4 linked regions of the Drosophila melanogaster genome follow. The protein of the gene in region 2 interacts with the protein of the main gene of each other region in a pairwise test. Each region holds a gene or a part of one and is shown on either strand. Other genes may lie near its edges. The genes, in order: CG2540, Eno, CG3308 and CG7352.

Evidence for each region.
Region 1: the proteins of Eno (region 2) and CG2540 interact in a two-hybrid assay, tested with the Drosophila melanogaster proteins (one large-scale study listed by BioGRID).
Region 3: the proteins of Eno (region 2) and CG3308 interact in a two-hybrid assay, tested with the Drosophila melanogaster proteins (one large-scale study listed by BioGRID).
Region 4: the proteins of Eno (region 2) and CG7352 interact in a two-hybrid assay, tested with the Drosophila melanogaster proteins (one large-scale study listed by BioGRID).

The regions. Positions count from the first base shown.
Region 1 is NC_004354.4:12,626,044-12,633,020, reverse strand, and holds CG2540 (uncharacterized protein), read right to left. Parts: upstream 3,144-6,977; 5' UTR 3,063-3,143; coding exon 2,127-3,062; 3' UTR 1,910-2,126; downstream 1-1,909. Other genes in the region: Aven (apoptosis and caspase activation inhibitor), read left to right, coding at 3,518-3,546, 3,611-4,466; CG15728 (uncharacterized protein), read right to left, coding at 4,772-5,344, 5,409-5,600, 5,657-5,788.
Region 2 is NT_033779.5:1,722,351-1,732,987, forward strand, and holds Eno (enolase), read right to left. Parts: upstream 7,287-10,637; 5' UTR 7,178-7,286; coding exon of another isoform or gene 6,479-7,177; exon of another isoform or gene 6,382-6,478; intron 6,114-6,381; exon of another isoform or gene 5,953-6,113; intron 5,883-5,952; 5' UTR 5,704-5,882; intron 5,531-5,703; 5' UTR 5,484-5,530; coding exon 5,296-5,483; exon of another isoform or gene 4,403-5,295; intron 4,306-4,402; coding exon 2,991-4,305; 3' UTR 2,418-2,990; downstream 1-2,417. Other genes in the region: Rim2 (replication in mitochondria 2), read right to left, coding at 1,532-1,578; Rrp40 (ribosomal RNA processing 40), read left to right, coding at 6,479-7,177; CG31937 (uncharacterized protein), read left to right, coding at 7,634-8,599; CG17652 (uncharacterized protein), read right to left, coding at 9,053-9,466, 9,530-9,730, 9,794-9,913. UniProt on the Drosophila melanogaster protein: Enzyme of the glycolytic pathway. Glycolysis is essential in glial cells but not in neurons; neurons rely on the citric acid cycle for their energy needs, and on lactate and alanine secreted into the hemolymph by glial cells to fuel it.
Region 3 is NT_033777.3:21,268,685-21,277,400, forward strand, and holds CG3308 (uncharacterized protein), read right to left. Parts: upstream 5,134-8,716; 5' UTR 4,847-5,133; coding exon 4,657-4,846; intron 4,152-4,656; coding exon 3,803-4,151; intron 3,753-3,802; coding exon 3,471-3,752; intron 3,410-3,470; coding exon 3,271-3,409; 3' UTR 2,394-3,270; downstream 1-2,393. Other genes in the region: Rab1, read right to left, coding at 87-109; AP-2sigma (adaptor protein complex 2, sigma subunit), read right to left, coding at 725-1,000, 1,061-1,210, 1,267-1,269; Idi (Isopentenyl-diphosphate delta isomerase), read left to right, coding at 1,532-1,846, 1,903-2,358; CG3301 (uncharacterized protein), read right to left, coding at 6,717-6,896, 6,955-7,527.
Region 4 is NT_033777.3:8,344,550-8,350,052, reverse strand, and holds CG7352 (uncharacterized protein), read right to left. Parts: upstream 2,335-5,503; 5' UTR 2,290-2,334; coding exon 1,429-2,289; intron 1,375-1,428; coding exon 835-1,374; 3' UTR 757-834; downstream 1-756. Other genes in the region: DppIII (dipeptidyl aminopeptidase III), read right to left, coding at 2,699-4,594, 4,654-4,960, 5,030-5,187.

The sequences.
Region 1 (6,977 bases), on a different chromosome or scaffold from region 2:
TTTTTTTCTTTTAAATTGTAGCTTTTCCTCTGGATTTACTTGGCGTAAACATCTGGAACAGATTTTCTTTTTGTTTCGAGATGTTTTGCAATTTTTTTTTATAGATTTTGGCTTAATGGTTGTGGGTTCTTTTTTAGGATTTAGGAAAAAATCAACGCGTGCGAACGCGTCGAATGCTCTACAGCGAAAAACTGAAACTGGTAGCGTTTCCGCGCAGTTTCCACGGCACGTGTTATACATACACGGAGGAGTACACACACACACACAATTCAAACACTCACACACACACAGAAACACACTGGCACGTCCTGAATATCCTGGTTATATGGTTATGCAAAGCACCAACGAGTCCGTATGGTTGTCGCTGGCTTTGATTTCGGATTGTTAGCCCAATGCGTTGGCAACCCTGACCGAGGTTTTCCCTTGCTTTAACCAGGAATCGATACTTGTTAGGAGGCGAAGCTCCCCAAATTGCCTTTTCTCTTTTCTTTTTTTTTTTTGAGAAAGCAAAGTAATAAATCCCACATGCGAGTACATACTAAAAAGTGTAATCTGCTAAAATGTAAATACTGGCATACTCTCACAATTCATAGGTCCTCTCGCTCTAACACACAAACACAATGGTCGTATGGAAATTTGCATGGTAATGGTAATAAGTTATGCGCCGTTATGCTTTATCCTTCTTGTGTGCGAGAGCCCATTATCAATAACTCAGCAAAGTAGGCAATAAAAAGGAGCTCCGAACGACATGGTCAGAGGGGGGGGGAGGTTGGCAACTCTTGCGTCATGTTGGTAATGTAAATGTAGTCCAATAAGAAACTTGTTGGCAAGAGAACAAAAACAAGAACAAGAACAATAAAGATAGAACATTGACTTTCGCTGCTCTGATAAGAATCTGCATGGGAAAGGGAGCAAGAGAGAGGGGGAGAGCTCAAATGATTCATCTGGAGCAGCAGCAAAAACCTAACGGTGATGTGATGGTTGATATTGAAAAGCAGCAAATGCAAACATGTTGTCATTCTAATTTGCATTTTACACACACACATGCAGAGAGAAACACATTGACAAGCAGGGGACATAACATCATCGCAGCAGCAGCAGAAACAAAAAACGAAAACAAAAACAACAGCAACAATAACACATTCCGCAACACAACCACCCACTAAATACCAACCAACCCCCCCGCAAACCGTTAAGCCCCGCCCACCTGTTTCATGGCGATTCACTCCGCTGTTGAACGTTTGTGGCGCTTGCCCAATCCAATTGGATTGGCGAACCGAATCAGATCAGATCGACACGGGGGCGATAAACAAAAAACACAACGCAATGTTTAAACAAAAAGCACGACAAAACAAACGACAATTTCTCAAAATGTTGTCTCAACTGTTAGAGCTGTGAAAACTTCGACGACTGGGCGCCATCGATGAACGGCAAGCTTGGGCATTATCGATATCAATCTTATCGATATTTTCTAGCAGTGAGACCAAAGCAGCACAGCTATATTCTACACGTTCGCTATTTAGGGTATTCCCCGTAAAATTAAATTAAATCTAGAAACTTTTAATTAAAATCCTTTAAGTTACTTGCCTAATTAGATTCATATATAACGTGCCATTGTATTGAAAAATGGTTAATTTACACCGGTGGAAATAAAATAAATATTGGAATTGATTCGAAAAGCTGATAAACGCTATATTGAGTACTATCTGAATGCCGTGATTCCTGAATTATAAATTTAAAGATTAGATATTAATGTTACTATCAACATAGATTTATACGTTCTATCCGGCCTAGAGCGTGCTCTCTATATTTTATGATTTTTATAACTACTATATATTTAATAATTCAATGTTTAATGATACCACAAATCACAAGACAATTCACTTTAAATAAAATCACACAAATGTTTGTTTTAAATTTATATTTAAAATATGTTTTCATATATAATAATGAATAAATAATAATGTTCATGACAGGAAATCACAATCGTAATTGTGATTCGTCAGAAGCCTCTATAACACGTCGTTGCAATTGGTCTATTTGGAATGGTGCATCTAAAAAGAAATATCCCAAGCTTCTTGGTATTTACAATAAACAGTAGTCTTCTATTGCAAAATGTTGTGGTGTCACGACTTGTTTTTAGCTTGCAGTGCAGCGTAGATCAACCACTCGCGGCCGCCAGGTTTCTGACATCGCTCCAAAAGCTTCTCCAGCTGGTGTGCCTGCTCCGCTAGCTGTTCCTCCTCCAGAATACCGGAAATCTCATGCAACAGCGCATGGCGTATTAACTGGGGCTCATCCTCGACAATGTAACGCTTAACGCAAGCAACCAGTTCTTCGAGATGCTCGTCTACAGCTCCCGGAAAGAGCTGATCCATGGCGGCGGCCAGGTTGAATAGGTATTCGCGATTGGGGCCACTGGGACCGGCCGAGCTGAAGATTTGCCTCGCAATACAGGGAACTTGCCACACATCACCAGCATAGGAATCGTTCGCCTGCGTGGCCACGTACATGATCACTTGGATGGGTTCTGCACCGTCAGTCGGATACTCGTGGAACTCCAAGCTGCAGCGCTCATACCCGTTCTTCTCCCGGTAATCCAGATGGTCCAACACAGCACCCTTTTGACTAGCAGCTATGCGATAGGCGACGCCATAGACACGATCCTGGGCGGGATCGCCTGGCAGCAGGGTGACCACGCGACCAGGACGTTCGGGAATACCCCGGTGATCGATGCTGTGCTGGTAGAAGCGACGCTTGAATCCCCAAACGAAGCCGCGTCGTCGGTCTATGTACGGGAAGTCCGTCTTCCATACCAACGACCCATAGCCAAAGATCCAGACATCCGCATCCGTGGCCGCCGGCGGCTCCAATTGATTGCTATTTTCGGTATCGAAAGTGCGTAGCATGGAGAATCCTTGTGTAAAATCCTGATCCGCTGACTTGCATCCATGTTCCCTGGGCTCCTCGATAACGTTCGCGAAGAACTCGGTGTATATGTTGCCGGGCAGCTGATCCGCCCTAGAACCACTGCTTCGCAGCTCCGTCAGGAAGTCCAACATCACCGGTGCTTCGTTAGCCAAAAAATTGTGAAAATTTTCAATTTCCTTTGGCAGCTTATCGTCTAAAGTTATCGACATCAGCTGTTCGATTCCCACAGGGCTGCCACGTAGCCTTGAGTTTTATATATATATTTTTAAATATTTATTACAAATATTAGATTTTATAGTTAAATATGTATTTTTATGTAATTGAACAATCATTTTATTTATGTAATAAACTAAAATGTTCATATGGTATGTTGTTAATATGTATATTTATATTTTTCGTTTTCCGTTACTTTTTTATGTTGCAACAATATAGCCTGGCCACCCTGCGCTCAGTTAAGGGAACAGCTGTTTGCCGCATTATCCATCCCGCTCACACTCGCGTCGCTGAACGAAGGAATAAACAAACCGATTTTGAATCGGAATTACCAGATAAATAACACCCCGGAAACCACACAACCCCCATCAAAATGTCCGGCAAGGACGATCGATCCAAGGAGTACGTGCAACGTAACCACTCACCTCGCAGTTAGCACCTAATAATAACAACCCATCCTTTACAGAAAGCGCAGGAACATGAAGCAGTACAATCATCACCATAAAAAGGATCAAGGGCGCTCCACCACATCGTCGGGATCGCCACCACCCACCTCCCGTCGCAGCATGGTTGATGTGGCGGACTCGAGCGATGAGCCAAGGTTGGCCAGGCGTGGCAATTGGCAGTCCAGTGGAGCAGGCCGCTCATCGTTGGCACCGCAACGGAACAGGGACATGCTGGACACCCTGCCCAGCGACACCGACGATGTGGAGCAATTGGGCCTGGATGGTGCACCCATCGATGAGAATGCCCGTGCCCAGTTACGAGCTGGCGATTTCCAGCAGCTGGCCCAGTTTCCCAGCCTCGGTGGCGGCCACTTCACCTTTGGGTCAGAGCGCGAATGGGCCAACGTGGCCGAGGGCCAGACCAAGCTACACACCAAGGCTGCCAGTGCTTACTTCACCCTGAACCTCACCCGCCTAAATGTGGGTCTGCAAACGATTCCGTTATACAAGCGTATGGATTATCCGGCGTCTTTGTTCACCCGCGCTCAGATTGCCGCCCAAGAGAAGGCCGCCGAACGGGCTGAGGCAGTTTACCAGCAGTGCATTCTGAAGGACGCCAATGGGGGCGCCAAGTCGCGAGCTCCCTCTGCTAAGTCCAATAAGGACGTTGCCCCTGCAGCGGCGGAAAAACCAATTGCTGCCTCAGCAGCTGAACCTGATGAACTTGACGAGCTATTGGCCATGACCGATACGCAACTGGATATAGGCTCTGGAACCATTACGATGCCAATGCCTATGGTGCAGCCGGCCACACCCTCATCGGCAGCAAGCAAAAACGGTGTGGAGGAATGGCTGGATTCCGTTTTGGATGAATAGTTACATAGTTCAGGAGGACTATTACCAGAGCTTTTTACGCTTACACGAAATATTCAAATCACTAAGTGCTTGCATTTTTAGAAGTAGCATCATTAAAATTGCAAAATCTAGAGTTTTCCTCGTAACTTTATAGTTAAAGCTAGAGCCTTTTTATTGTGTATAATAAAATCGTTGATTGCATATATATACGATGCGATTGTTTCTTGAAATAAGTTTCAAAGGTTAGGTTAAGTTATTGAAGATTTCAATTCTCTTCTCATCAAAGTATCTGAATTTATAACAGATTTCTTTGTTTCCGTTCGCTATTACTTACATTGTGGTCCACTTTTGCCTTGGTAACACTTAACCAAATGGCCATGCAAGAGCTGCATAAGCTCACATATGGACTCCAAAAGCACCAGGCGCTCATGCAGATGCCCCAAATCGTTGTTCTCCACCATCAGCGGACGCAGCTCATCAACGATCGCGATTAGCCAGCGAACTAATATCGAACAATCGTCCCTGGCCAGTTTCATATAATCCTCCGGCACATCGGTCTCCTGGCACAGTTGCTGGCCCTGGGCATTGAATGGTCCGATCAGCAGGATGCTGGATATCAAACGGACCACCAGGTGCAGGGAATGCAAATAGGATATTACATAAATATGCGGCTTCACCACGGCAACGACGAGCAGCAGTGTGTTAGCCGGACGCAATCGGTGCAAGTCCAGGCCCAAGTCCGACATATGATCCAACATGGCCCAGAGCAGACAGTTAGCCACAACGCTGGCCATTGTGCACAGCGGACTGGCCACGCGGCAGCCGAGGATCAGGTTGAGCATTGTGCTCGAACTCTGGATATCCAAGAGACCCAGGACATGGACGCATACCTGGTGGATCTGTTGGGCAAAGAAAGGGAAGGATCAAAAAATATATATTTCAAACATATATATGCTTACTCACATGGCTTTCCTCGGAGCATGCCATATAATTGAAGCACTTTTGCAGGAAAAGAGTTCTTTTCACCTGGGTGGCCGACGTGTCCTCATGATGGAGTAGATAAACCATCAAACCGCATACATACACCGCAGCCAGTTTATCTGCTCCGAATTGGATCCCCTCCTGGTTGAGCAGTTCATCAAAACCAGATATAATCTAACGGAACATGTGAATAAATTAGATAATGTGATTATGATATGAATATGGATCACCTCCAGAATATTGCCGGTGGCATAAATAAAGTAGCATTGTTCCCGAATCGCCGATCGACTCATAGTCTGACGCAGCTCTTCCAAACTGAATCCCTGGGGTCGCACCATGTGGCTCATGTTGTATTCTGCCATTTTATCTGAGGAAAAAGCTGGAAAAAGGGAGTTATGCATTACTTTTGAACAGGGAAAAGGCGCCTTCAAGGATTTGCTGCTGCTTCACCTTCTCCTCCTCCTTCTACAAATTAGTGACTGAAAGATATGATGTGTGCAAATAGCCAACGCTATTTTAATGAGCTCCACAACATTTTGACATGTTTTTCAAACACACTTGGCTGCCATCTTGGCCAAGCCGAGTACAGTGAAATCAGCAAGTGGGTACTTTTAATTGAAAAGTCTAGGAATTAACTATGAAGCTTTTGATTTGAATTCATGAACCTTGAACCTATGTACATCTTCCATGATTTAAAATTAATTTTTTGTAATAATATATTAAAATATTATAATTATATAGTTATGTTCATTTTTAGACAAAATACACTTTTGTGTTGAACTTCTAGTTGAATCGCATAAAATTGAAGGACTTAGAGGAGTCGCTGCTATCGGACGCTTACTGTAGTTATGATTTTTCCTGCCTGTGTGTGTGCCCGCCTTTGTTTGTGTGTATTTGTGCTTGTCCTTGCACTGCTTTCGAAAAGGCTGGCAAAATGCAAATGCACGCGCGATGTGCGCATTTTAGCATAAAAGTCACCTGGCCTCCGTTTCCGACTCCCACTTTTCCACCTGCCACGCCCATCGCCGCTTCAAGTTTCTTGCACACTTGGCGAATATCTGCTCATTATGCATTCATATTTCATATTTCGCAATTACTTGCTTTCACACACACACACACGCACGCAAACGAACTGGCGGTAAAAAGCGCAAGAGGTGCAAGCAAGATGGCCATAACAGCAGGAAACCGTTAAGTTTCTGTGTGTGTGTGTGTGTTTGTGCGTCCTTTGCTTGGTCTTTTCTTTCTGCTCTTCTGCTTTTTTATCGCCCCCTTTATTTTTTTGGGGCATTTTTTGCACAGATTCCTATTGAAATTTCCATATTCACATTTTAATTATGCGTCGGCATGAAAAGATTAACAACTTTTTTGCAATCTCTCTGTGTGTGTGTGTGTGTGTGTTATGCTCTCCTTTTTGTTTTTAATTATGCACATGTATTTGTTGATCAAATTTAAATGGCAAAGGGGTAGGCAACATATAACCCTCTCTTTCTGAACTGCTTGCAAACATAACCTCAATTTAGCTGCCACTGCTTGCGAAGCGATTGTATGCTA
Region 2 (10,637 bases):
TTATAAATAAAGTAAACTGTTTTCCGATCTTAGAACAATGTTAGCTGTGCAGTTCCTTAATAGTAATGTGCACTGCCCCTCTTCAACTTATGTAAGCCCCTTGGAGGCCTCTGATGCCCGATTAGATGGATGTCGTTTGATTGTTTGCCGTGCGGCTTACTTGCTGCGATAGCATTGTGTGGCGGGGAGGCAAGGTTGTTACGCCTTTCGATTTGTTTTCGCAACGTGTACCAACACGAGATACCCGGCAAGCGACGACAAGTGGAAGGCGGCCAGAACAACTGGGGTATTAGCCAGCTCAGGTTGCAACGTGCAGCGTATTTCCAGCCCACTAAAGTATATACTACGCATATGTGCAGCGACTCGTTAGATACGGACACGGATACATACGGACATGGATACATACGGACATGGGTGGGTGCCACAACTGTGTGGTTGCTTTTTTCCCCCGCTGATAAGTGGACTTGCACTGCCGGCCGGCAAATTGCCCGGAGAGACTTGATTGCCACTGTGGCGGGGCATTAGAAGTGCCATTCAGCGGAATTATTATAGGTGGGGGGTCATGCTATCAAAGGCCTTCACCAAGGCCACCCGCGTCGATCAAAAGTTGTCAGAAACGGTGAGCTGTTGTTTTTATAAAGTGGAAATCTGGATTGCAGTCATAAGGAGCGAAGTATAGCAAATATTTTCTGTGGAAAAACTATCATGGACTAGGAGATACTTTATAAACAAACTCTATAAACACTTGTTTACTATCCCAAATATAAATATCAACAAAAATAAACTATTTAAAGCTGAGAGCTGTCAAGCATAAATAACAAAGTTCGTATTTCGAGCGTAATTCAATTGAAATGCGATCGTTTCCCGACTGACCAGGGGCTCGACTTGGGATCGATTCTCGATCGCTGGAAACTGGTTTTCCGCTGGGCAAACTAATGTGGAAGAACTAATGTGCCGGCCATTGTGTGTGTAGGGTGCAGGTGAAAACAAAAATAAATTCAGATGCGACGCGTCTAAAAATAGCCGCATATAAAAGCCACAATAAAAGTCCATAAGGGAAACAACAACAAAGCAATTGCCTGTCCAGGGGAATCGGAATGAATCCAAGTGGACATTGCCTGCGGAAAATGAACCCAGAAATGCGCTGTTTATGAATGTTTGTTCGCTGCAGGCGCGCTTTAATTAATTACATATGTTCTGCGTATTTCGCTCACTTTAGCTGCGATTTATCGAACAACAAATACCCTTCTTTTAATGCAAAGCACGTGAACGTAGCATGTTTCCCGAAGATCAGTTTGTGTTGTGTGTTTCCCTGCGCTGGCCGCATTTCTTTTTCGGTTTGCTCCCTTTTGGCAGTGGCGCCAAAATAGTTCAGCTCCCCTTCGTGGGCCAGCCCAAATCTAATCGCCAATTGCGCCGTTCCCGCCGAGCAATTACAATTAGAGGCCGGGAGCAAACCGGTTTCGTTCTACGCTGATGGCCTGACCTGCGATAAGACGCAGTAGGGAGAATGTCAGGCAGGCAGACTTACCCGCCGGCGATCAGGTGGATGAGAGTGTCGGCCGTGTTCTGGGCCATCTTCGTTGTCTTCCCAGTTCCGGAATAGGCTCCACCGAAATGGGCGGCTACTTGGACGCGCACTTGGTTTTAACTTTGGCAAAACGCACTATATTGTTAAGGCACTTTGTGGGCGGAGGTGTGGGGGGCGGGGCCCCAGGGGGAGGGGCTCTTAGCACGCTCTCCTCTCTTCCTCTTGCCACTTTCTATTGTCCTTTGAACTTTTGGGGCTTTCGCTTGGCCGCGATTCTCCGACTTTTCGACTTGATTTTCGGCAACGGTTATGCAACTGCAGTGGTTGCAGTGCTGAGCGTTAACTTAACCTACGGTTAGCTTGCGCGCAGTTAAAGTCCGTCGGTCGGCCGGTGCACTGATTCGATTTCGAGCTCGCCGATCCCTAGCGTTTGTGATTTAGCTTTGCATTAATTTATTTTCGATCCGATGTAAAAAAACACGTCCGTGAGAGTGACCGCACTGCGACTGTGGAAGCATACCGCCGCTGCGAGGCGCCAAGAAACGACCTAAAAAATACCAACAAACTGGGGAATTCAACGGTTCTGTGCGAAACTTTGAGCGCCATTTTGGTCCACCCTAGAAATTCAATTTTATTCACAGAAAGTTGAAAAAGCTTATTGAAATACTCGACTAATTGGTGGAAAGCAAAGATAAAGATAGAAAAAAGATCGTATTCAAAGTTTAATAACTTCATTCATCAGTTCAGAGATAATGAATAATTCAGATCCATTCAATCTTAATCCAAATCCAGAAAATGTTTTAAGATAGTTGCCTTTACTTTAGTTGCCCTTACTTGAGTTTACTTGATTATCTGGCAACGCCACAAGTGATCGAAGAAAAGAATTCAGTAACTTTTATACTTTTTATTTCACATCAACTAACAAATCTGAATATGTTTAATATTTGGTGTACTATTCCATCTGATTAAGATCTCTATTGAACACCGTGTATATTCGATAAGAATATTCCAACAGCTTTCGCTTAAATTCTATGTCTCAACAATTGTTTCATAACCGTTTTTGAAGTGAATAACTTGTCTGTTTGTGGATTTGGTGTTTGTGTAGATCAATTTATAATTTCATAACGATTACAGCGATTACATTGAAGATATTCAAAGCTCTCGGCAACTGAACGAATATCTTGCACATAGTGTTTTTTATTCTTTTGTTTATAAATAATGATTAGATCAAGGTTTAGCATTAATTAATAATGTCTAAGAACGAAGCATAGAGACAGCAAATGGGTTTGGTAGTTTAATTCTGATGTATTTGTGCGCCAGACACAAGTTCCGAACGTAAAAGGTTGACGAACACGTGCACCGCCGCCTTTCCATGGATCTACTGCGTCCAGCTCCCTCTCCAAGATCCAGATCTCATTCGATGGGGCTGGTGTGGTTGGAATTTCGAAGTGCCCTGCGCTTACTGCGGCTTCCTGAACGACTTGCCGGCGAACTTGACGCCAGCGCCGATCTCCTCCTCGATGCGCAGGATCTGGTTGTACTTGGCCAGACGCTCCGAGCGGCATGGAGCTCCGGTCTTGATCTGGCCGGTGGACAGACCGACGACCAGGTCACCGATGAACGAGTCCTCGGTCTCACCGGAACGGTGGGAGACCATGGTGCCCCAGCCGTTCTTCTTGGCCAGCAGATGGGCGGCAATGGACTCGGTGACGGTGCCGATCTGGTTGACCTTCAGGAGCAGGCAGTTGCAGGCCTTCTTCTCCACGGCGGTGGCAATACGCTTGGGGTTGGTCACGGTCAGATCATCGCCCACGATCTGGATGTCGGTGCAGCCGGTCAGGTTGGACCAGGCCTCCCAGTGGTCCTGGTCAAAGGGATCCTCAATCGAGACGATGGGGAAGTCCTTAATAAACTCCTGGTACAGGTTGGCCAGCTTGTCGGCGGGCAGCCACTGCGACTTGTCGCTCTTCTCGTTCTTGAAGTCCAGATCGTACTGGCCATCCTTGTAGAACTCGGAGGCGGCCACGTCCATGCCGATCTCGATCTTGCCGGTGTATCCGGCCTTGGCGATGGCATCGCTGATCAGGTTCAGAGCCTCCTTGTTGGACTGGATGTTGGGGGCGAAGCCGCCCTCATCGCCCACAGCGGTGGCGTCCAGACCGAACTTGGCCTTGATCACATTCTTCAGGTGGTGGTACACCTCGGAGCCCATCTTCATGGCCTCTGTGAAGCTGGTGGCGCCGGTGGGCAGGATCATGAACTCCTGCATGGCCAGCTTGTTGCCGGCGTGGCTGCCGCCGTTGATCACGTTGAAAGCGGGCACCGGCAGGATGATCTCCTTGTTGCCAGCCAGATCGGCAATGTGTTTGTACAGCGGCACGCCCTTCTTGGCGGCTCCAGCCTTGGCCACGGCCAGGGAAACGCCCAGGATGGCGTTGGCTCCGAACTTGCTCTTGTTCTCGGTGCCGTCCAACTTGATCATGAAGTTGTCAATGGACGCCTGGTCAACCACATCCAGATTGGCCTTGATCAGCTCGGGTCCCAGGGTGTCGTTCACATGGCCCACGGCCTTCAGCACCGACTTGCCATGGTAGTTGGCCTTGTCGTTGTCGCGCAGCTCCAGGGCCTCGTGGACGCCAGTGGAGGCGCCGGAGGGCACGGCGGCTCGGAAGAGTCCCAGCTCGGTGGTCAGGTCGACCTCCACGGTGGGGTTGCCACGGGAGTCGTAGATTTGACGGGCCTTGATCGCTTTGATGGTCATCTCGTTGCTGTCACTGAAATCAAAAAACAAAAAACAAAGTCCACGAGGGCGAATTAGTGTCTGTTATCAGGACTTTAAATCTAGGCATGGTGTTCTATTAAATAGCTGACCGCAGATGAAGCCATTCAGATTTTATGGCGGATGTGCTCCACAATATTTGCGAAATCCCCGCCATTACTTAAATAGTTGGGCTTATTTATATTTAAAATTGTTCCAAATGGACAGTTAAATGATATGTTTCGTGATGCAGTGAAATATTCGGAAATATGTCGAAAAAGAAATACGAACTAGAAAGGAAATGGGAGATACACCTTTGACATACTTTTGGACTTGGTTCTCAAAATATGGTTAGATATTAATAAAAAATTATTTTTTTTTGCAAAGAATTGTAGCTGTGAGCATGTAAGTCACTTGCAATTTGAGCTGTGAGTGGTGTAAACTTATACATATATCCCCATTCGGGTGTGACTTTCTCCACGGTATAATCTCGAAATGCCCCTCCTGAGTTTTCTATATTTAATTTGTCTTCAAATTTCAGTTAAATATTTCTATAATAATTTAGAGTCACTGACACTGGCGGCATTTCCCGCTTTTCCGCTTATCTCAGTGGGAGAGTTTTCAGTTTGCTCTCGCCGAACAACCGAATGACCTCTAAGCTACTTTTAAAGGTCAGACCCAAAGTGAGGCGTCCAGCGAAGCCGCAGTACGTGGAAAAGTTGCGAAAAACGGAAGTATCTCCCTACAGCGATACAACAAATGCCTGTCAATTGAAATTATTAGATTTGTGCAATTAAATCGATTGGAAATATACGTAAACGAGACACTTGAAAATTTGCACAGCACCATTTGTTAGATAATCGCGCGGATATCGCTCGCAAAAAACGCTCGATTTTCAAGCCCTTTCGATTGGGGTGATCTTTGTGAAGTTCGCAGATAAAACAATTAAATATTTTCCCTAAGCTGGATGCACAAGCACACACCAAGAGTCTAGCAATATACATACCAAGTACTTTTGCGGATCTGCACAAATTTAAATCCAGATGAGAGCTGGCTGACTGCTGATTTGCTTCTGAAACGCGGCGCAACGTTTGCCGATTTATTCTGGGGAATTCTGGGGAGAGGCCAGCGCAGACGCAGAAACTTCATGCTAGTGGTGGAAGTCCTCAAGAAAACTGAAGCGGTCCAAGACATGGCTTGAATGTGTAAAAGACGGCGGCGAAAGTGCTACCAATTTGTATCTTGATAAAGGAGTAAAAAATATCATTTAAAATATATATTTTAGTTACCTTACATGAAACTATAGCTCTGTTGCAAGCTATATGATAAATTTAATATTCATAAATTTTAAAAGCTCAGCTTAGGCGATGTATTTTTGCCCATCTCTAAGTGTGGAAAAGAGAGGGACACTTACATTTACTCTCCTTTTATATGTATGCGTTTCCAGGTGCTCGCCGGTTTTCAGTGTGGGGGTGCGCTTTCCCTTTTTTGTTGTTTTCCCTGGTACGTTTCCTATATTTTTTGGGGAAAATTGACCTTCGCACAAGGTTAGAGTAATCGGGATCCACACGTAGCTGTGGATTGCATGTCTATCTACATAATAATAAATGCTCTCGTTAATAAAGCATAAACAATCAAATGGCGTCAAGAGAAGTGTAACAACCAATGATAATGAAATGTTCCCGTGGTTTCTGGACAATCGGGTCATTCAAAGTCACATACTTGTGGTTAGTCACGCTTTTTAGCTGCCATAAATTAGAACAAATAAATGCAAAGCGGATTTTAACAAATCGTACGATTATGCTTATAGCAGCACAGCTGATCGGGAAAAAATTGCATATGTGTTGGTTAACATTGCCGCCCACACGCTGTTAGCTCTTTAAAACTTTCTTTGCATTTTTAAGATCATTCAGTAATATAGAACAATTACAATTTGACTAAATATAATTTTTCTGTTACTTTTTTAAGTTCATCTTAATAATTAAAATCGTAAGCATTTTGAAAATAATAAAATAAGAAGGGGCAAAAATAATTTGAATATTTATGTTCTTTACAACTACTGTTAAATTTAACTTTAAGACCAGGGCTGACAATGGCAGTGTTGGAAAGTCCTCGACTTGACCATATGTTTTGAAAGACACACGCGGATTTTTTGTTTGGAGTTTTCAAATCGTAAAAGCAACATTAAAATGAGCGCGACCAGCACAATAGTTATGCCCGGTGAGCGAATTGCGGCCATTGAGGAGCTGGCCAAGAGCAAGCGGGTGATACTCGGACCGGGACTGCGGCGTCTGGATGACACGGTGGTGGCTAGCAAGGCGGGCCCACTTCGACACAAGGAACCCGGCACCTTCTGGGTGGACAACTACCAGAGAAGGTACATCCCGGCACGCGGGGATCTCATTCTGGGCATTGTGCGAGCCAAGGCGGGCGATCTGTACCGCGTGGACATCGGAGCAACGGACACAGCCTCCATATCGTATCTCGCCTTTGAGGCGGCCAGCAAGAAGAATCGCCCGGATCTGATCCCCGGTGATCTGATTTACGCGAGAGTCCTGAATGCAAGCGCGGACATTGAACCGGAGCTGGTCTGCGTCAACTCGGTGGGCAAAAGTGGCAAACTGGGCGTCCTCACCGATGGATTCTTCTTCAAGTGCAGCCTGAATCTGGGAAGGATGCTGCTGCGGGAAAACTGCCCTGTTCTCGCCGCTCTTACCCGGGAACTGCCCTACGAGATCGCTGTGGGAGTCAACGGCAGGATATGGTTGAAGGCCCATTCCCTGAAAGAAACCGTGGCCCTCGCCAATGCCATTTCAGCGCTGGAGCAATCGGGATGTGCGGAAATCGACAAAATATGTGGCAATCTCGGAGACTTCCTGCAGGCCTAGGATTAGTTCTTAGTTTACTTACTTTTATATAAAAAGAAATGGTTAGCCAAACTGATGGGGTTGAATTTTGATGTGAATGTTGGCGCAAAGGCAGTGTGTTGGAAGCCCTGATTCGTTTACGTAAAAAAACTATCAGAGATGAGCAGATGGAAGCGTTTTTCGTATCTTGGATTATGCTCTACATGTTCTCTCAAGAAAGATAGTACTACCCTTACCTAGCTACCAAAAGGTATTTAAATAATATAGCATCATTCAAAAACCAAGTATAAGGGTTTTATGTCAGATAAGGTGACTACTTTCCGCAGTCACTGCGTCACCTCTGGTGCCCACCAACAGCTGATCGATCAGACCCGCTCGCAGTGATTTCTGTGTGGCCAAGAACAGGTTTCAGTGCCTTCCGTTGCGGCAGAGGACAAAGGTTTCTCCGACCCAGCCGTGCCATACAGAGCCAACGAGATGAGCTTCCTGGAGTTTCTGCTGCTCCTGCTCGTGCTGTACTATGTCGTGTACGTGCTCCTCTGGATCCTGCTCGACTGCAATGTGGCCCTGTGGTACAAGTCCCGTTTCGGAGTCTCGCTGTCGTCGATGCGCGGACAGGTGGTTTGGATAACTGGTGCCTCGAGCGGAATTGGCCGCGCTTTGGCGCTCAGCTTGGCCAGGCATGGAGTGAAATTGGTGCTAAGTGCCCGGCGACTGGAGCAATTGGAGCAAGTGCAAGAGGAATGCCTAGCTGCAGCTCGCGGACTGCTGGCCACCAAGGACGTGCTGGTCATTCAAATGGACATGCTCGATCTCGACGAGCATAAGACGCATCTCAACACGGTGCTCAATCACTTTCATCGACTGGATGTCCTTGTCAATAATGCTGGCCGATCCCAGCGAGCCAGTTGGACCGAAGTCGAGATCGAGGTGGACCGGGAGCTGTTCGAACTGGATGTCTTTGCGGTGGTCCACCTCAGCCGCCTGGTGGTGCGCTATTTCGTGGAGCAGAACGGCGGTAGAGGACACATCGCTGCCACCTCCAGCATCGCCGGCTTCAGTCCAGTGCCATTTTCACCCACCTACTGTGCCGCCAAGCACGCCCTTAACGCCTACTTGCTCTCCCTGAAAGTGGAGATGCGCAAGCTGGATGTGTCGCTCTTCGCACCGGGACCCATAGCCACCGATTTCCTGCAGGAGGCCTTCACTGGCTCGCAGGGCGGAAAGGTGGGTCTGAGTACGGCCAATCAGAAACGGATGACGGCCCAGAGATGTGGCGATCTGTTCGCCGTTGCCTTGGCCAATAAGATGGATCTCACCTGGTGCGGCCTCTTTCCCGTCAACCTCTTGGCCTACTGCGCCCGGAATCCCACGCTGAGCAAGATTCTGGCTCAATTGATGACCGAGAAGACGCTGAACAAGATTCGCGAGGGCAAACTGTGAGAACAACCCCGGTGTGCCTCGCCCCTTCCCTATTCCTGCTCCAAACGGCTCTCAGTCATCTTTTATACTGTTGTATAATTCTTAACTATATACTAAAATATATAAATATGTGCACAAGATTAAGTTGAGTGTGCGTTTCAATCGCGATAATCTTCACAGGCACAGTGGGATTCTACAGTTCCTCCCATTCAATTGGTGAGCAATATTGTGGTAAGCTAATAATCAATTAAGATTTATGAATTCTAAAATATTCTAGTTAACTTAAGTCATTAACCAGTAATTTAGTAATCTATCATCTGGTTCAGATGCATAGATTTTTTTGCCATTATAGAAGAGGGCATATTACACTCAGGTGGCTAGTTAAAGCAGCTCCTCCCACATTATAATGATTTGTCAAGACTGCAGATTACCTTGCATTATCTTATATTTATCTACTTGATCAACCATTCTAATCTAATCTTTTCCTAGCGCTGCCTTGACGTGCGCTGGGATCTTGACTCGTTTTCGTTTCGCCTTGGTTATTGCGGTCTGCTCAACTCCTTTGAGCTGTTGCTTCGCCTTGTCCTTTTTGCTCTTCTTGCAGGACAATGGATTGGGGTTCTTGGGCCCTTTGTGCTTCTTGGGTTTGACTGCAGTTTCAGCTGGCTTCAGTCCCTGCTTCTCCTTCATGTAGTCGATTTTCTCGACCTGTTTGCCCAGCATTAGGTTTTTGGCCCGTCGTTGCACCCACTTCTTGGAGGCTTTAGATGGTGCTTCCAAGACGGGAGTGGCTTTGTGCAGATAGAGCAGACAACGTCCGGGAATCTTGCGAAGACTCTCCTGCAGCAGACGATCTTGCGAGGCAACCACATAGCGATTGTCTTTGGTCTGAAAGGCAAGTAATCATTTTATGGCTATAGCATACTTGAAATCAAGTAACTCTCAATTTACCATCGATTTGATGCATTCGGAAGCGGGGACTGGTTTTCCTTCGTGTCCGCATTTGTGGACATGGAATCGCTTGACGATGGATGTGGCTCCAGTGAGAGGAGCACCCAGGGATTCCGACTCCAGAATAACACACTGGGTGGTCAGTAGCTTAACGCCGCACTGGAAGTACTTTTTAATCTGCTCATCTATGCCAATCTTTTGCTAAAAGTAAAAATTAACTATGGATATCAACAAGTGCTAGAGATGATATAAGCAATAACCCACCTGAAGGGCTGCTTGGCAAAAGGTGGCATCAATTAGCACTTGGTAGGGTTCCCGGTAGTCGAAATTGCTGGCAAAAAACACCAGAGTTTTGTGCGACTTCTTAAAACGAGATATTTTCATGATATTTGCGGGTGGGTAGTCACCAAGTTTTATCAAGTAAAAACAAAAACAGCGTGCAAGTACAGTGTTGAACAGCGTTCAAGCTCAGCTGTTCTCGCCTAACAGACTGTGTGCGCACAGCAGCTCTGTTGTAATTTATAGCCTGCTGTTATTTGAATTCGAAATGTTTTACATTTGGCGCCAAACCGGAAGCAACAGAGAATGCATTTTCAACCCTCTTCAAGCAATTTCCCTCCCTTTCTCTTTTCCGCAGCTATTAAGCGCTTTGTTTTCATTTCCCTTCGCGTAGTCAGTTGGTTTTCCATTGCAGTTGCAGGCGCAGCAAACAGCGCATAAATAAAATTCAAATTTTAATGACAGAGCCTTCAATTTCAAAGTGCCAATTTATACAGTAAGTTTAAAAGTTAAAGTGAAAAGTGTTTAGCAACTAAAGAGTCAGTTAATGAAATGTTTAGATAAAAACTGTGTGCGAGGACTTTTGAGTCCTGTGAAACGCAGTAATAGTTTGAGATGCCAGGTCGTTAAACTGCGCATATATCACATTTGTGCCGCTTACAATTTTCATACTTCGGTTCTTCAGTTCTCTGCTTTGTTTACGGCGTACATCAAGTTTTCCGACCTCCGGTTACCTCTAACCCTCTATTGCGTTTCTATATCCTCCCCCTGGCCGCTCACCCGTGATGGGTTTTCCTCTTTGGTCATTTTCTTGTTTTTTCTTAATCTG
Region 3 (8,716 bases), on a different chromosome or scaffold from region 2:
TATTTTCGAAGGCCAGAAAAGGAAGTGGAAGCCCAGTCACTGTTTTAACTCCAGATAACTGCGCATAATTACGTGTGACGACTTACTATTCCGGATTCACAGATGACATTTTCTGGCTTTTTCACAAGATTATATATTTGCCACGAACAAATATTCGATTTCTGGCCCTGGACTGGCTGCTGTTCAGAGTGTTTTTATTTGATTTGCGCGTTCCGAAATACTGGAAATCGACACGCACTCGGCTTGTGTTGTGTTTTGCAGTTCGCTATTGTAATTATTGCAGCGAATTTAAATGGGAAATACGTTTATTTCCACAAATTCGACGGCCGAGAACGAGAACAATGGCGACTGAAAAAATGACGAAGTGGCATTAGCGGCAGTGTTGGAAAATGCGCGGGGCCCTCTTCCAACCAGGGCTACACATTATCTTGTCTACGGAGGTGAGTGGGCGGAACCAGAGAAGAAAATATATGGATTATCGCCAAATGACCCCTAACACACCCCATATAAAAACAAAAATACTTAACTTTTGCATACAATCTCTTATGGTACATCATTTGTTTCTAAACACGGCCTTTAACATTTGAGTGTTTGCATAGAGAACACATTAAAGATAATAATAATAATACGCGTAATAGTATATGAAAGAAGATTCGATAGGCGGGTGTAGCGCCTGGGGGAATGCATCTGGCAGATCCGATATACATATGTATGAATTGGGCCGCTACTCCAGCGAATTTAGCGTGAGCAGCTGCTTGAGCACCTTCGTCTGCGAGGTCTCCCGGATCTCGCCCGCCAGGAACATCTCGTCCACCACACTGTACACCTTGTAGAAGTTGAAGACCAGATCCAGCTCGCACACATTATGGAAGTATTCGTTGAGCACCTCCACGAAGTTGTGAATGGCCTCCAGATAGCACAGGTTGTTGTCGTTTACGTCCACGCAGATGCAGAAGTACAGACCCGCATAGCGTCGGTAGACGATCTTGAAGTTGCGGAACTACAAAGGCAAAAGTGTGATAAAAGGGTGATTCAAAAGAACATATGGACTCGATCCCACCTCCACAAAGTTGGTGTGCTTGGCATCGCGCACTGTGACCACGGCATGCACCTCCTCAATCAGTTTCTGCTTCTCGTCGTCATCGAAGTTCATATACCACTTGGCCAGGCGAGTTTTTCCAGCTCGGTTTTGTATAAGTATGAATCGTATCTGGGCGAATGGAAGGTCAAATAGGGGTCTAAGCTTATAGCTGGCTAGTTGCTTACCATTTTTCGGGAAATTGGTTAAACCGTTTCCTGCTTATTTACAACTTTTTTTGTTTCGAGAATGGGGGCGAAAAACTGATTATGAGCAAATTGTGTATCACTGGGACCAGGGCTACCACTACTGTTCCGGAACAGCTGTTACCTCGTCAGTGTTGCAAACAGTTCGCGCAGAAAGCAAACGAGTTGGCAGACCCGCGCGCTGTATTACGAAGTTTCACTTTCATATTTGTTTTGGCCACCACTCCAAACTAGTCATTTACCAAAAATGTTGGCCTCTCGCTTGAATCTCCTGTTGCCCCGCGTATCCTGGCTGCGCGGTTGCTCAACGACAGCGGTGGGCCAGAAACATCAGCGCCAGGTGCCCACGGAGTTCGCCGTACACGATCCTCTGCAGGCTCACGCTCTAAAGGAACAGTGCATCCTGGTTGACGCCAACGACCAAGCCATTGGGGCCGCCTCTAAGGCAGACTGCCACCGTGTGCATCCAGAGACGAATGATGTTAAGCTCCATCGCGCCTTCAGTGTTTTTCTCTTCAATTCTCAGGGAGAGATGCTAGTGCAGAAGCGATCGTCTCACAAGGTGAAATTAAAGGGTAATCCCCTTATTACAAGGTCCATAATCCTCTGTATCCTTAGATAACCTTCCCAAACACCTACACCAACGCGTGCTGCAGCCATCCGCTTTACGAAATCGAACAGGAACGTCAGGAGCGCAACGCACAGGGCATCCGTGTGGCCGCTCAACGACGTCTCAACTACGAACTGGGCATTCCCACAGAGGAACTGCAGCCACAGGACTTTCGCTACCTGACCCGCATCCACTACGCAGACACGGGCGACGGCGTGTGGGGCGAGCACGAGATAGACTACATCCTGTTCCTGCAAAAAGACGTGACGCTGCGTCCAAATAGCAACGAGGTCAGTGAGGTGCGCTACTTGCGCCGCGATAAGATCGACGAGGCGGTGGCGAAGTTTAGTGCCCCGCTGACACCCTGGTTCTCTCTGATTCTGCAGCATCGATTGAAACTCTGGTGGGACAATTTGCACCAGCTGGAGCAATTTGAGGACTTGAGTAATATTCAGCGCTTTTAAGTGTGCTAACCAACCAAAAATACACGTAATGACGTCTAAAAGGGGCTTTTGTTCGTTTGGGTTTCAAATTCGCTTTATTCAAATGGAAAATAGTGTGTGTCTGTGTGCGGACAATGGGCACAAAGCGGATTTTATGCAACCTCCGCGGGTCGATCAGTTCAGTACAACGCTTTTGTATATGTAAATATAACAATACATATATAGTTTGTATAGGCGCACGATATTCAATATGTTTCATAGCCTAACTAATGTGTTTGTATGTTGAATATCAAATAACTAATTAGCTTTTAAAATGATCACATTACGTTTCCCATAATCATCATCATCATCGTCATCGTCGCAACAAGAATAAATATGTACAAAAGTACGACTACAGGCTAACAGAGACACAAACTAAAAGTATTGATTCTAGCCTAAATACAGAAGAAACAAACAAAAGACAAGCTGCAGCACTTAACATTAACATATATCGCTTCGGGAGCGAGTTCGAAGCGCGCGCTTCGAGGCGTGAAGTGCAGACCCCGGGCGAATCCGGAGTCGACGTTCACGAGGCACCACCTTGGCACCGTTTCTCTGGGTACTCGAGTAAATAAAGCAATTGCTCGGAAATTCCAACAACTTAAAGCTAGACCCTGCAAACTTCGATCGATGGTTTGCACCTTTACGGCAGGGGGTGAATATATAGTTATATACGTATACGTACTTTTCGCATGCAATGGGGGTCGTATTTGTGGATGTGTGTATGTGTGGGGATCAGGATAAGCGCTTCATCCTGAATTCGATTAGTGGTTAAGGCACATAGGTATGAGTCTATCGTGAATCTCAGGCTCGTTGAATCTATAGAGTTACGGGTTTAAAGCTGCTGGGTGGCACACTTTGTCGTTCAGTTCCATGTGGCTCCTTTACCATTTTCTAGGACAAGCCAAACAGTTTCAGGGCATTAAAGGCAGTGGCCAAAGCCACCTCGTCCGGGCTTTTCTTCATGAAGGCGGCTATCATCTCTACAATGGCGGGCAAACTGCACGGCTCGTTGCGTTGGAAGGTACAATATCTGGAAGGTATTTTGAACTAATAGAAGAGTGACCTATTTTGGTACTTTTTACTTCGCCCACCTGTGTAAGTACAACAATGAGCGTTCGGTGATACCAGTCTTCACGTGTTGCGGTAGCTTGGAAGCCCTTGTGTTTGGGTACATGAAAGGAGCATCCGTCTCCACCAGTAGTCTGTCTAGCGGCAATGTGCCGTCCTCCAGCAGGCGGCGAACGCCAGTATCCGATTTGTCCTTGCACAGGTAGCCCGTCAGGCTGATGTAGAACCTCCGGTCTAGGTACTTAAGCGCCTCCTCGGCGGTGCCCATAAAACCTCTGATGATCACAGGCGGAAGATTCTCGAATCTGCGCGGGGAACAATTTAAAGTTTTGTAAACCAAATCTACGGCTCTTACTTGTCTAGTATTTCGAGTAAATCGAGCTGAGCCGACCGCTCGTGGATCAGCAGAGGTTTATTTAGCCGGATGGCCAGATGCAGCTGCTTGGCGAAGATCTGCTTCTGGGCGTCCGGTTCGGAGAAGTCCCGCTGGTAGTCCAAGCCGCAGGGGCCAATCGCCACACACTCCTGCGCCTGGGCGATGTGCTCCAGATCGAACCACGTGGCCGGCTCTTCCACGATGGACTTGGAGTCGTGCGGGTGAATGCCAGCAGTTGAGTAGATTATGTCGGGATAGATGCGCGAAAGGCGCAGCGCTTCCTTGCTCGATTTGACCGAAGTGCCGTGAACCATTAGTTTCTGGACACCTGCAACAAGAAAGGCGGGAGAAAGTTAGTGCAACGTTCACTGGGCTACAGACTTGTGTACAAAAGAGAAAATATGTGACTTCTGTTTGCTTTCGATCAGATACTCTTATCAGCATTGTAATGTATCCCTTTAAGTAAATGTATTTAAAAAACAAATTTTTTGTTGAATATCAAATCAAATATGTAAAGAGAATTTATCTCTTACATATATTTAAATGTTTATAGTTTCCTTTAAAAATTTATCCTATGCAAATATTGTTGTGTTGACATCTTGGTTATTTGGTTTTTAATCTCCAGCTACGTTCCCATTGAATTTGTAATGCCATCTCCCAGGGCACATATGTACATGCATACATATATCAAAACACAGGCACACTTGTTGCTCGCCAATAGCCCGACCTTCTGGCTGTCTGGGTGTTTTCGCAGCCTCGCCCCAGAACGAAGACACTGCCCGGGTCTTATTAATTATGCCTGCACATGTAGTATCTGATGCTGGCATACAAACCTGCGTCTCTGGCTCTCTGCACCACGGAATCCAGATCACGGCTATACTTCTTGTTGGTCAGATTCGCACCCACGTCGATGACGATCAGGTTCTCAAAGCAGTGCTTCATGTCCAATTCCAGCTGATCCTCCAGCAGCGGGGCCACGGGGGCCACCACCGTCTCCTGGGGCGTCTGTTGACTGGGGTCCATGTTCTGGATCGGAATCTTGGATCTATTATCGACGAAAATAGCTTATGACGCAGGCGATGGATTGCTGGGCTGCGACTGTGTGCGTGGGTAATTCAATTAGCTTGTTTTTGAGGGCGCAAGGAAACGCGACGGCGGTGAAAGCCGTGAAATGTGGATCTACTGAATTTGTTGGAATTTGGAAGAGTTGACCAATTCGGCAATCAATGGTCTAAAAGTTGAGAAATATTAATCTAAAAAACAATCCCGACACGAACTACAACTGCTGGCTAGAGTTGAACAACGTCTGCAGAACGGGTCAGTGCAGGTACTACACTCTGCATGCAATCGATAGTCGGAATCGATACGTAGCACCAAATTATATCGTGTTTGAATTTAAATTGTTATCAAAATAAATATTATGTAATAAAATTCAGTCCAATTATTTGATATAAATATATTTGTTTCATGTATATAGTAGAATTCCGATCATCAATAGTAACATCTTAAGACAAATAATTAAATATTTCACAATACCATACCAGAAGTCGCAACTAAATATAACTGAGTCGAATTTTTTGTTTCGGCAACAGTCATTGTTTTTGGGGATTTAAAACCCAAGCCCACACACTTGCACCGACCCCACCTTCAGTTTTGGTTAAACAAACGAACAAATGAGAATAATGTTTTCATTATATTCTTTCCAAACACCTGCAAGATTATTTAACTAAAACGATTCATTGTATTCAAGTGCGATTGTTTATTTATTTGAGTTGGCCCACACAAAGCTTGTTCATTTTTTTTTATCAAGAAACAAAGGTTTAAACAAGTTCGCCCACGGCTTGATAGTGAGTGTAATATGATATTGCACCGGCTCAATCCTCTATTCTCAGCTTGTGTATGCCGGTGTTCCATGCCACTGATTATTTACGTATCTACAATGGTTAGCAGATGCTCTAAGGGGGAAACTCATTATAATAAACACATCCAACCTACTACTTCCAACAGGCATATTATATTGAGTTCCCCTGTTGATAAACTCTTGTCGGAAGACTTCTGCAATGTACTCCTGGTGCAATGGTATCTAGAACGGTATTGTTATCAGATCATCCGAGTTTCCCTCTATCATAATGTTTTTACTTAACATCAGCACCACCCAAACTCTTATCGATTCAAGAAAATGTACCAAAAAGGGTCACCATTGGTGACATCGCAGGGGGAAAATGGAAGCCAGCTTGCTGATGGCAGTGGAGGAGTTCATCTTCTGGAGACAGTTCACCCTTTTGGCTGGAACTATCAACCACACTCCCTTGGCCATCAGCTGCAGACAGCACTCATCTGCATATGTCTTTCGGCAGTGCGACTTGTTTTCGAATTAACTCTTATCTTTTGGGTACATTTTTAAAATTATAAGCATAATCGTCTGGGGTGGATTGACTACTTAATAGATAATTCCCAATGTCGCAGTATCATTGGAATTAATTGGATTTTTTTTGGATCTGAAGAGACCATTAACAATTCCTGAATAATAAATTCCTATCTACATATATTTCGGAGTCACCCTAATCGATAAATAATAGCGAGGGTGTTTGTCTAGGTAAATTTTGATATCAAATATTCTTATTAAAAATGGGTAGATAAAGATTTATACCGGATTATTCATCATTAAAAATGTTCCCGACGAACAAACGGGTTTAATAGAAAGGCGTCTTGAACGTTGGGGTAAGCAAAAACCAGTTGAGCCCGGTTTCCATGTTGAGATAAAAGAGCGACCTTGGGTGTATTTTTTCTCTATTAATTAAACATGTACATTTTTTATTTGTTTACACTGCTATTGAAAAGATATTTGTGTATTTGTTCAAATAACTTACTTGGTCACTTGGAAGTGGTCACTTCAAAAGCCCTCACCAACCGGCTTGATTATGAGCTCCTTTATCTGGACAGTTGGGGGCGTCTGGATGCAGTAGGTCACCGCATCGGCTATATCCTCCGATCGCAGCATGGGCATGCCTGTGGGTTGCTCCCAGGATCCGGCTTCGAAAATTTCAGTGGCCACTACACCAGGACTGATGCTCTAAAATACGTACATCATTAGAAGTTCTCATGCGAACTGGATGAGCAAGGTCACTTACCGTGATCTTTGTTTGAGTGCCCTTCTTGATGAACTCCTGACGCAGGATTTCGGTCAAGGCGGTGATCGCGTGTTTGGAGGGCGCGTACATGTTCAGGCTGAAGCCCTCCACGGCCGGAACGGAGTGGCCTACCACACTATTGATGACTACCACATGACCGTCGTTTACCTTGCGGCGCTGCAGCGATAGGAACCACTGGCGGGTGCACCAGGTCACTCCCAACACATTCACGTCCAGAATGGCACGCACATCAGCGGAATTTTCCGGGTCCGTGATGTTCATTTGACGTATGATCCCGGCGTTATTGACAAGCACGTCGGCACCACCCAGGGTGCGATCGATCCAGGCGAAGGTATCGATGACCTGCTGTTCATTGCTGACATCACAGGGGCGGGTGTGGAAGCGAGCAGCCTGATCGGCGGGCAGGGAGGATTTGATGTCCTGGAGGACCTTCTCTCTCCTGGCCAGGCCCACCACTACCATTCCCTTGGCCACCAGATCGCGGCAGCAGGCTGCTCCGATTCCGGCGCTGGCACCAGTGACTACGGCAACGCGATTCAACCAGCGGTTCATGGCAAGTCTGTTTGATGTGGTTTCCCAACGGAGACTAGGTTCAATGTCTATTACTTTATACCCTACATCGATGTTAATCGGTTATCAATAGGCGGAGCTTTTTGGTGAAAAGTTTACACACAGATAGCTTCAATAAATCCAGTTGAATGGGGTTCTCGAGAGCCGAGTGACCAGACAAATTCTTAAGTGGAATTCATTTTATTTTCAAGAGAGCGGCACCATTACCAATTATGATCGCTATCTATGGATGACTTCATATTTATACCCATCAAGAACATTCTCCATCGTTATTTCGATTTGCTATTAAATCAAGTTTGCCTAAAAGTATTCTTCGTTTCGGGCAAACTTCTAGAATATTTAAAATCGATTGTAGTCCATTTGCAAAACGTAAATGATGCCCAAATTAAGATATTAAAACTTTAGTTTAGTTTGAATTTTTATTTATTATTTCTGCTAACATGCATGTATCTTTGGTGTTAGTTCTATGCGATAAATATACATATATATGTCTGCATAACACATATATTTACATATATAATATTGTGTTGCCATTAATGCCATGCTTTCGGTTTAACTGGTTAACGCGCGATCTCTGTTAAATATTTTGTTTTTTTTTTTTTTGTATTCCGCATCGGTAAATAACGAACATAATGCACATGCATGTGAGTATGGGTATGCTCTACGTTTTAAAACTTTAAAACCTAAAGTTCAAATTGGGGTATTCGATAAATATTACTTTGCTTAAATCAGCCTGCTCGCAACTTTCGGGTTCTTCTTTAAGTGGAATCGAAAGCGGGAAAGGACATTCTATTGCGCGCCCTTCGTACTTGCAGCATATAATATGTATGTATTTGTATAAATGTAATCTCTTGTTTACTAGACGTTGTTGTTCGCTTCTGTGGCTGCTTGCCACATATTGCCAGCTTGTGAGTCGCTAGGCCTATATAAATATATATTTGTATATTTGAAATATATTATTGATATTCCTCATTGTAGATGCTTGCCTTACACTAAGCGCTGGAGTTTTGAACGGGCTGTGCATGTCTTCTACTTTTCGATTTCGGATCGGGTTTACACATATGTAGCTCCCCCCCAAGTGCCTGAACAGAGAGCAATGAGTACGACTAGACTAAATCTCTGATCAGATCGTTCTCGGTTACACAAAAGCCAATTAAAACTCTACCGATCA
Region 4 (5,503 bases), on a different chromosome or scaffold from region 2:
TCACTTTATGCGTTTCCGCGTTTTGTTTTGTCGCGGTTCTCTTGTTTTAGCGTCGCGCACTCTGCGTTCTAGGCACTGCTAAACGTGGTCAAAACTAGCCCGGGCATTTTGCCAAAACACTGTCATTTGTGCAACGCCCTTTCACTGCGATTCCGTGTTATTGTTTGTACGCAAGATCACTCCCGTTAACATAAAATAAAACCAGACCAGCGTCAGCTAGCACTCGCGATAGTATCGATAGTCCGATAATGGGCGTGTTAGGGATGTCTTGGTTTCGATATTGCTCGGTACCACTGATTTCGAAAAGAAGCTATTCACACACACGAGCTTCTGCACCAGCGACAAGCTTCCGCAGCACTGGCTTTATCTTTTATAAAAAGATATATATTGGTATACCAGTCAAAATAAACGTATATCTAAACATGTATTTTATGAAAGTTATGTTTTTTGAATGCAATTAGTAAGATGCAAAGAAATAGTTAGTAGTCAATTTGATATAAAATTTCAATTACAGATAACATTTATAGTATTTTTGATTGGACTGCATAAACACTTTCGCGGCAATTATGAAGCGGTTATTAGGCCGAGCTTTCAAAATAATATTAAACCAAATTGAAACAGCAGATGCGCATTCTGTGAGAATATCCTTTCAATCGAGGTTTCCAATCGAGCAAAACAACGAACTGGCAGCACAGGCGACGGTCTGGCATCTTCGCTAGCCTAAATGATACACGTCACGTAGACACAACGGCGCTTAATTTTAAATAATTTATTTTTGGAAGCCAAAAATAAACTTGACCGTCTTAGAATTACAATTTGGAACTATGCCACTGACTAGGAATCGCCACCGCCCCGTGCCTGAGCGTCAATTAGGCAGAAATGCTCCCTATCCGTAGACTTAAGGACATGCTTTGGTAGATATCGAAGCACGGAGGAAGGAACCTGGCTCAACATGGCCAAACGCTCCTGTTTGATGCGTTCCTCTTGCTCGGCATCGATCTTGGCCTTCATGTCAAAGTACTGAACATTTTCAGCGGTGGCCTCCGCCCGCTTCCGGTGATTATCCTCAATCATAGCAAGCAAGGAGGCTCCATGGGCCCGGCGTCTGCGATATTCATCCAGTTGCTTTTCGGAATTCTGGTTGATTGTATCCGGCGCCTCCTCCTGCCGCGTAGCCATCTCCGCCCGCTTCATCTGCATTTCGGCCATCTTACGATGCTTCACCTCCTGTCGATAGCGATCCAACTCCTGTCTGGTGCGCTGGCGAGACATCTGCTCCTGCTGCATCTGTTGGCGATAGCGCTCGTCACTCTTGGCCGTGTACTCCGCCTCCAACAGATCCAGCAGCAGATTGTCGCGATGCCGTTTTTTGTTCTGCAATAAGAGTTAGCTTTATTGATTGAATCGAAAAACCGCTTCAAGACTTACTTCGATTTCTAGGACTTGCTGGCCCAAACGAATGCTGATTTCTTGTTTTTTGCGTTGAATCTCCTGGCGTTCAGCCTCCAGCTGGAGTTTCCTGCGCTCCATGTCACTTTGCTTCTGGACTAAGTCACTCAACTCCTGGTTGTATTGAGCTCGCTGCCATTCTCTGAGTTCCTGGTTCTCCTTGATGGACCGCAGCATGTCCTGTCGCTTTTGTAGTTTTTTTCTCTGCGCCTCCAGCTCCTGGGCTCGATCCTCTTCCTGGATTTGCTTCTGCATCAGAAGGCTCAGCTCCCGGTCATTCATCACCTGAGCGTGCTCTTGCAGGCGCCGTCGGCGGTTCTCCTCCATTTGTTCAGCCAAGGACTCCCTAAGGCGGCGTTGTTCCTCCTTAAGAGCCACTTCCTTCTCACGTTGCCTGACCTCCAGCAGACAGCGCTCTTGGGACACTTCCGCGGCTTCCAATTTGATGTCTAGCTGTCGACGACGTTTTTTCTCCTCCAAATTCTCGGCTATATCCCTGGAAATGGCGGCTAGGCGCAGCTGCTCCGCCAAGTCGCGCAGTTCCTCGCAATCCCGCCGCAATTGCTGGCGACGTTTCCTCTCCACAAACTCCGCACGCTTAAGATCTTGCATTTCCTGCGTCATCGCTGCCTCCTCGATGAAGTCGCGGGTTATGGGACTCACTTTGGAAAGCTCCTGGCTGCGGCTCACCTCCTCCAGGTCGTACTGCAATTTTCGGAACAGCTGTGAGCTGAAAAAGTCGTGCTCCTTGCGCAATGAATGAGGCACCTGGAATAGCGGCTGTCCGATGTTGATAGTGCCACCTTCCTTGTGGTTACCACGATTTCTACCGGTTGCCATGGTGGTCAAAACAATGCAAACAGAAATGGAAACGAGAAACAAAATAAAAAAAAAAAAACCAATATTTATCGACTGGCTACTATGAAAACATTCAATGAACAAATTGTAGTATTTGATTTTATATTTACATTCTTAATTGTGGAGCTATTATGAGCAATATACATTTGGTCGCAATATATGTATGTACATACAAGCAATTAAATTCAGGTCCTTTGTCAATATTTTCGGTGAATGGCAAAAACGATCTTAAAATCACCATTCACTACGAAAGTTTTACTATAAAAGCAATTTAAAATTTAAAATTGTTGGTCATTAGATGACTATATATATTTTTATATATTTTTTTTCAAAATCATAGTTAACAAATTGAATTGATAATGAAGGCGAAAATGTTAAATGCGAAATGTTCTCAGTTGTTGAAGGCAGTCGGGAAATACTTCTTGTCCTTCTCCACGATGCTCTCCAGAAGATCGTCGATGTCAGTGTTGGGGTAGCGCTCCACCCATGACTGGATGTACCCCTCGTGGGTGGGCTCGTAGGTCTTCAGCTGGACCTTTTGGTCCTGGCCGATCGCCGTGTTGGCCTGGACGAGAATCATACGCGGCTTCTTGTGCGCCAGGCAGATATCCCGCCACTTGGCCCACGGATGCGATCCGCTCTCGTCGACCTTCGAGTAGTGTTCGTACATCTTGGAAGCTGCCTCGATGTCGGCGGTGGATTTGTACACCTGCAGCTTGGTCAGGAAATCGCCCAGCGCCTTCCTGCCCACGGTATCGATCTTGCTGCGATCCACCGTCAGCAAAAGGTTTTTACCCTTTTCGGTTTCCTCGACCTTAACGAGTCCTTCGCCTGCCTCCAGCAGCACCTTCATGATCACGAAACGAGCGCGAGAGTGCGCCTGGAGCCACAGCTTGGACTTCGGGTTGAACATTTCCAGAGCCACACCCATGCCGTTCCAGATGAGACTCAGCCAGTTGACATAGATGATGTTGTCCTGCTCGGCTTTGTCCTTGAAGCCAAAGATCTCCAGGATGTCACGCTGCAGGGAGAGATACAAGCCCACCGCCTCGGCGCGGCATTCCTCGTACGAGGAACCAATTGCTCCGAACTTGGTGTCGTAAGTTTCTCCAGGAAGATACCACTTGGTGATGGGTTCACCGGTGACCAGGTTCTTAGTGTTCTCCTTGTCAAAGTTGTACACACCATTTTCGTCGATGCGGAATAGCTTGCCACTACCATGGCCTAGGAGTTCATGGAGGCCCACTTGCACCTCAAAAGCCTTCACCTTGTACTCTTTCATCAGAGTTTGATCCTCCTCGGTGAGGAAAGGAATGGGATCCTTGCGGTTGATGTTGGCCAGCACATTGCCCAGCGAGACGTTCTTGAAGCCTTCATCCTGGCGGATTTCGTCGTAATTGGGAATATTGATGCCCGCTGGTACTCCGCTGCCGGCAAATGTGAGGACATCCAGGGATGTGAAGTCTGGCTTCAGGTAAGAGTCCTTCTCGTAAGGCTCCGTCCAGGGCAGGTACTCTATTAGTTTCTCGGCGCGGTTCACCAGCTCGGAGAATTTGGCCGAGCTCTCCTTGTTCACCATGGCCACGAAGCCCTCGAATTCAGCCCGACCTCCAGCAGGATCCCTGTATGTCTCAATGAAACCAATGTAGGTCTCGATGACAGGTCCCTTGTCCTTGATCCACCAACGCGATCCGTTCTTGTGCTCGTCCAGCGAGCCCTGTTCAAAGGATCGGACATAGTGCTCGATCATCTTGGACTCGTTTTCATTGGCTGCGTATTTCTGGGCCTGCAGCAGATGCTGGTTGACGCGCTGAAGCAGCTTCTGGTAATCACCGCGTGTCACCCTAAACTTGTTGCCATTATACTCTTCCAGCGGAAGTGTGATGCCGTCCTGCGTGGACTCCGCCACGGAGCCCAGCTTTACATCGTAGACGGTTTGACCATTTTCAACTATCTTGAAGGTCCGGCACATGTACGGTTCGATACGCTTTGAGGTCAGCCAAGCGTTCACGATCTCGGAGTCCTCCTTGGTGCAGTTATCCGACCAGTAGGTGGTGATTCCGTCGGGAGCAAAGCCCAGGATCTCGTTACGCGACTCGAGCGCATAAATCAGATTCTTGACCTTCTCGAAGATCTTGCCTACGCGCGGCTCATCGCTGTAAGCAGCGGATGCCTTTACTATAGTCTCAAATTGCTTTTCTGAGAGATTGGGAACGATCTTGCTGTCGCCCATACCCTTGTAGTTGCCCGCGTTGGCGAACACACCGCAGGCGTACACTAGGAAGGCCTGAAAGTGATCAAAATTAATATTTATTTTCGAGAATATGAAACTCTCCTCTGCCATACCGTAAAATCATCAGCAGACACTCCCGCCTCCAGGGCTTTCGCCCTAAGAACAGGAATCTTTTCGGCTAGGAAAATGCGGTGCAGCAGGGAGAAGATGAGCGGCGCCTCCGGACTGGACTGGATCAAGGCAATGAGTCCGCCGTCCCAGGAGGCCTGGCTGAAGTGGTGGGCGTAGAGCTTCTCCTTCTCGGTGAGATTCTCGAAGGCACTCTTGCAGTCCAAATCGGCAATGGGCTGCGTGTTAGGCAGGACGAAGTGCGCGGTTTTACTGGCCATCTCAGCGGGTTGGGGAAGGTTGGTGCTGCAGCTGCAAAGATATCATATGGCGAACCGGACCGATTATATACATGGGCTTTAGATAACACCTGGCAAATACCTGTAACGAACGAGGGAGCTACAAAATCCCAAACTTCTGGAGATTGACGGTTGGACTGAGCGAATACTGGGACTGGTCCCGTAATTTAGACGACTACGGAAATGACACAGCCTGTTCAGTTGCTGCCGGGATCTCTGTAGCCCTCTTAGCCAAAACATTACTGGGAATTTTTTGAGAGTATTCTATTTGAAGACTTTACATTACTTGTCGCCCAACTGGAAAATGTGAAAAGGCTACTTTAATTTGGATGAAAAGCCAAATAACTCGGGGAACACATGAAAACTTGATAATGCAATTTTATCTCCAGCAAGCCGGCTAAACTGCAGATGTGGCAGTTAAGCGGCGTTTTACCACAAGAATATAGAAAACAAAACTATGGCTAAAATGGAGCCCGAAAACGTGAAGAACTGGCAGAGCCCAAGGAAAATGTGAATGTTTAAGAACTACGTGGTTAGTCAATCGCAAAACAAACAA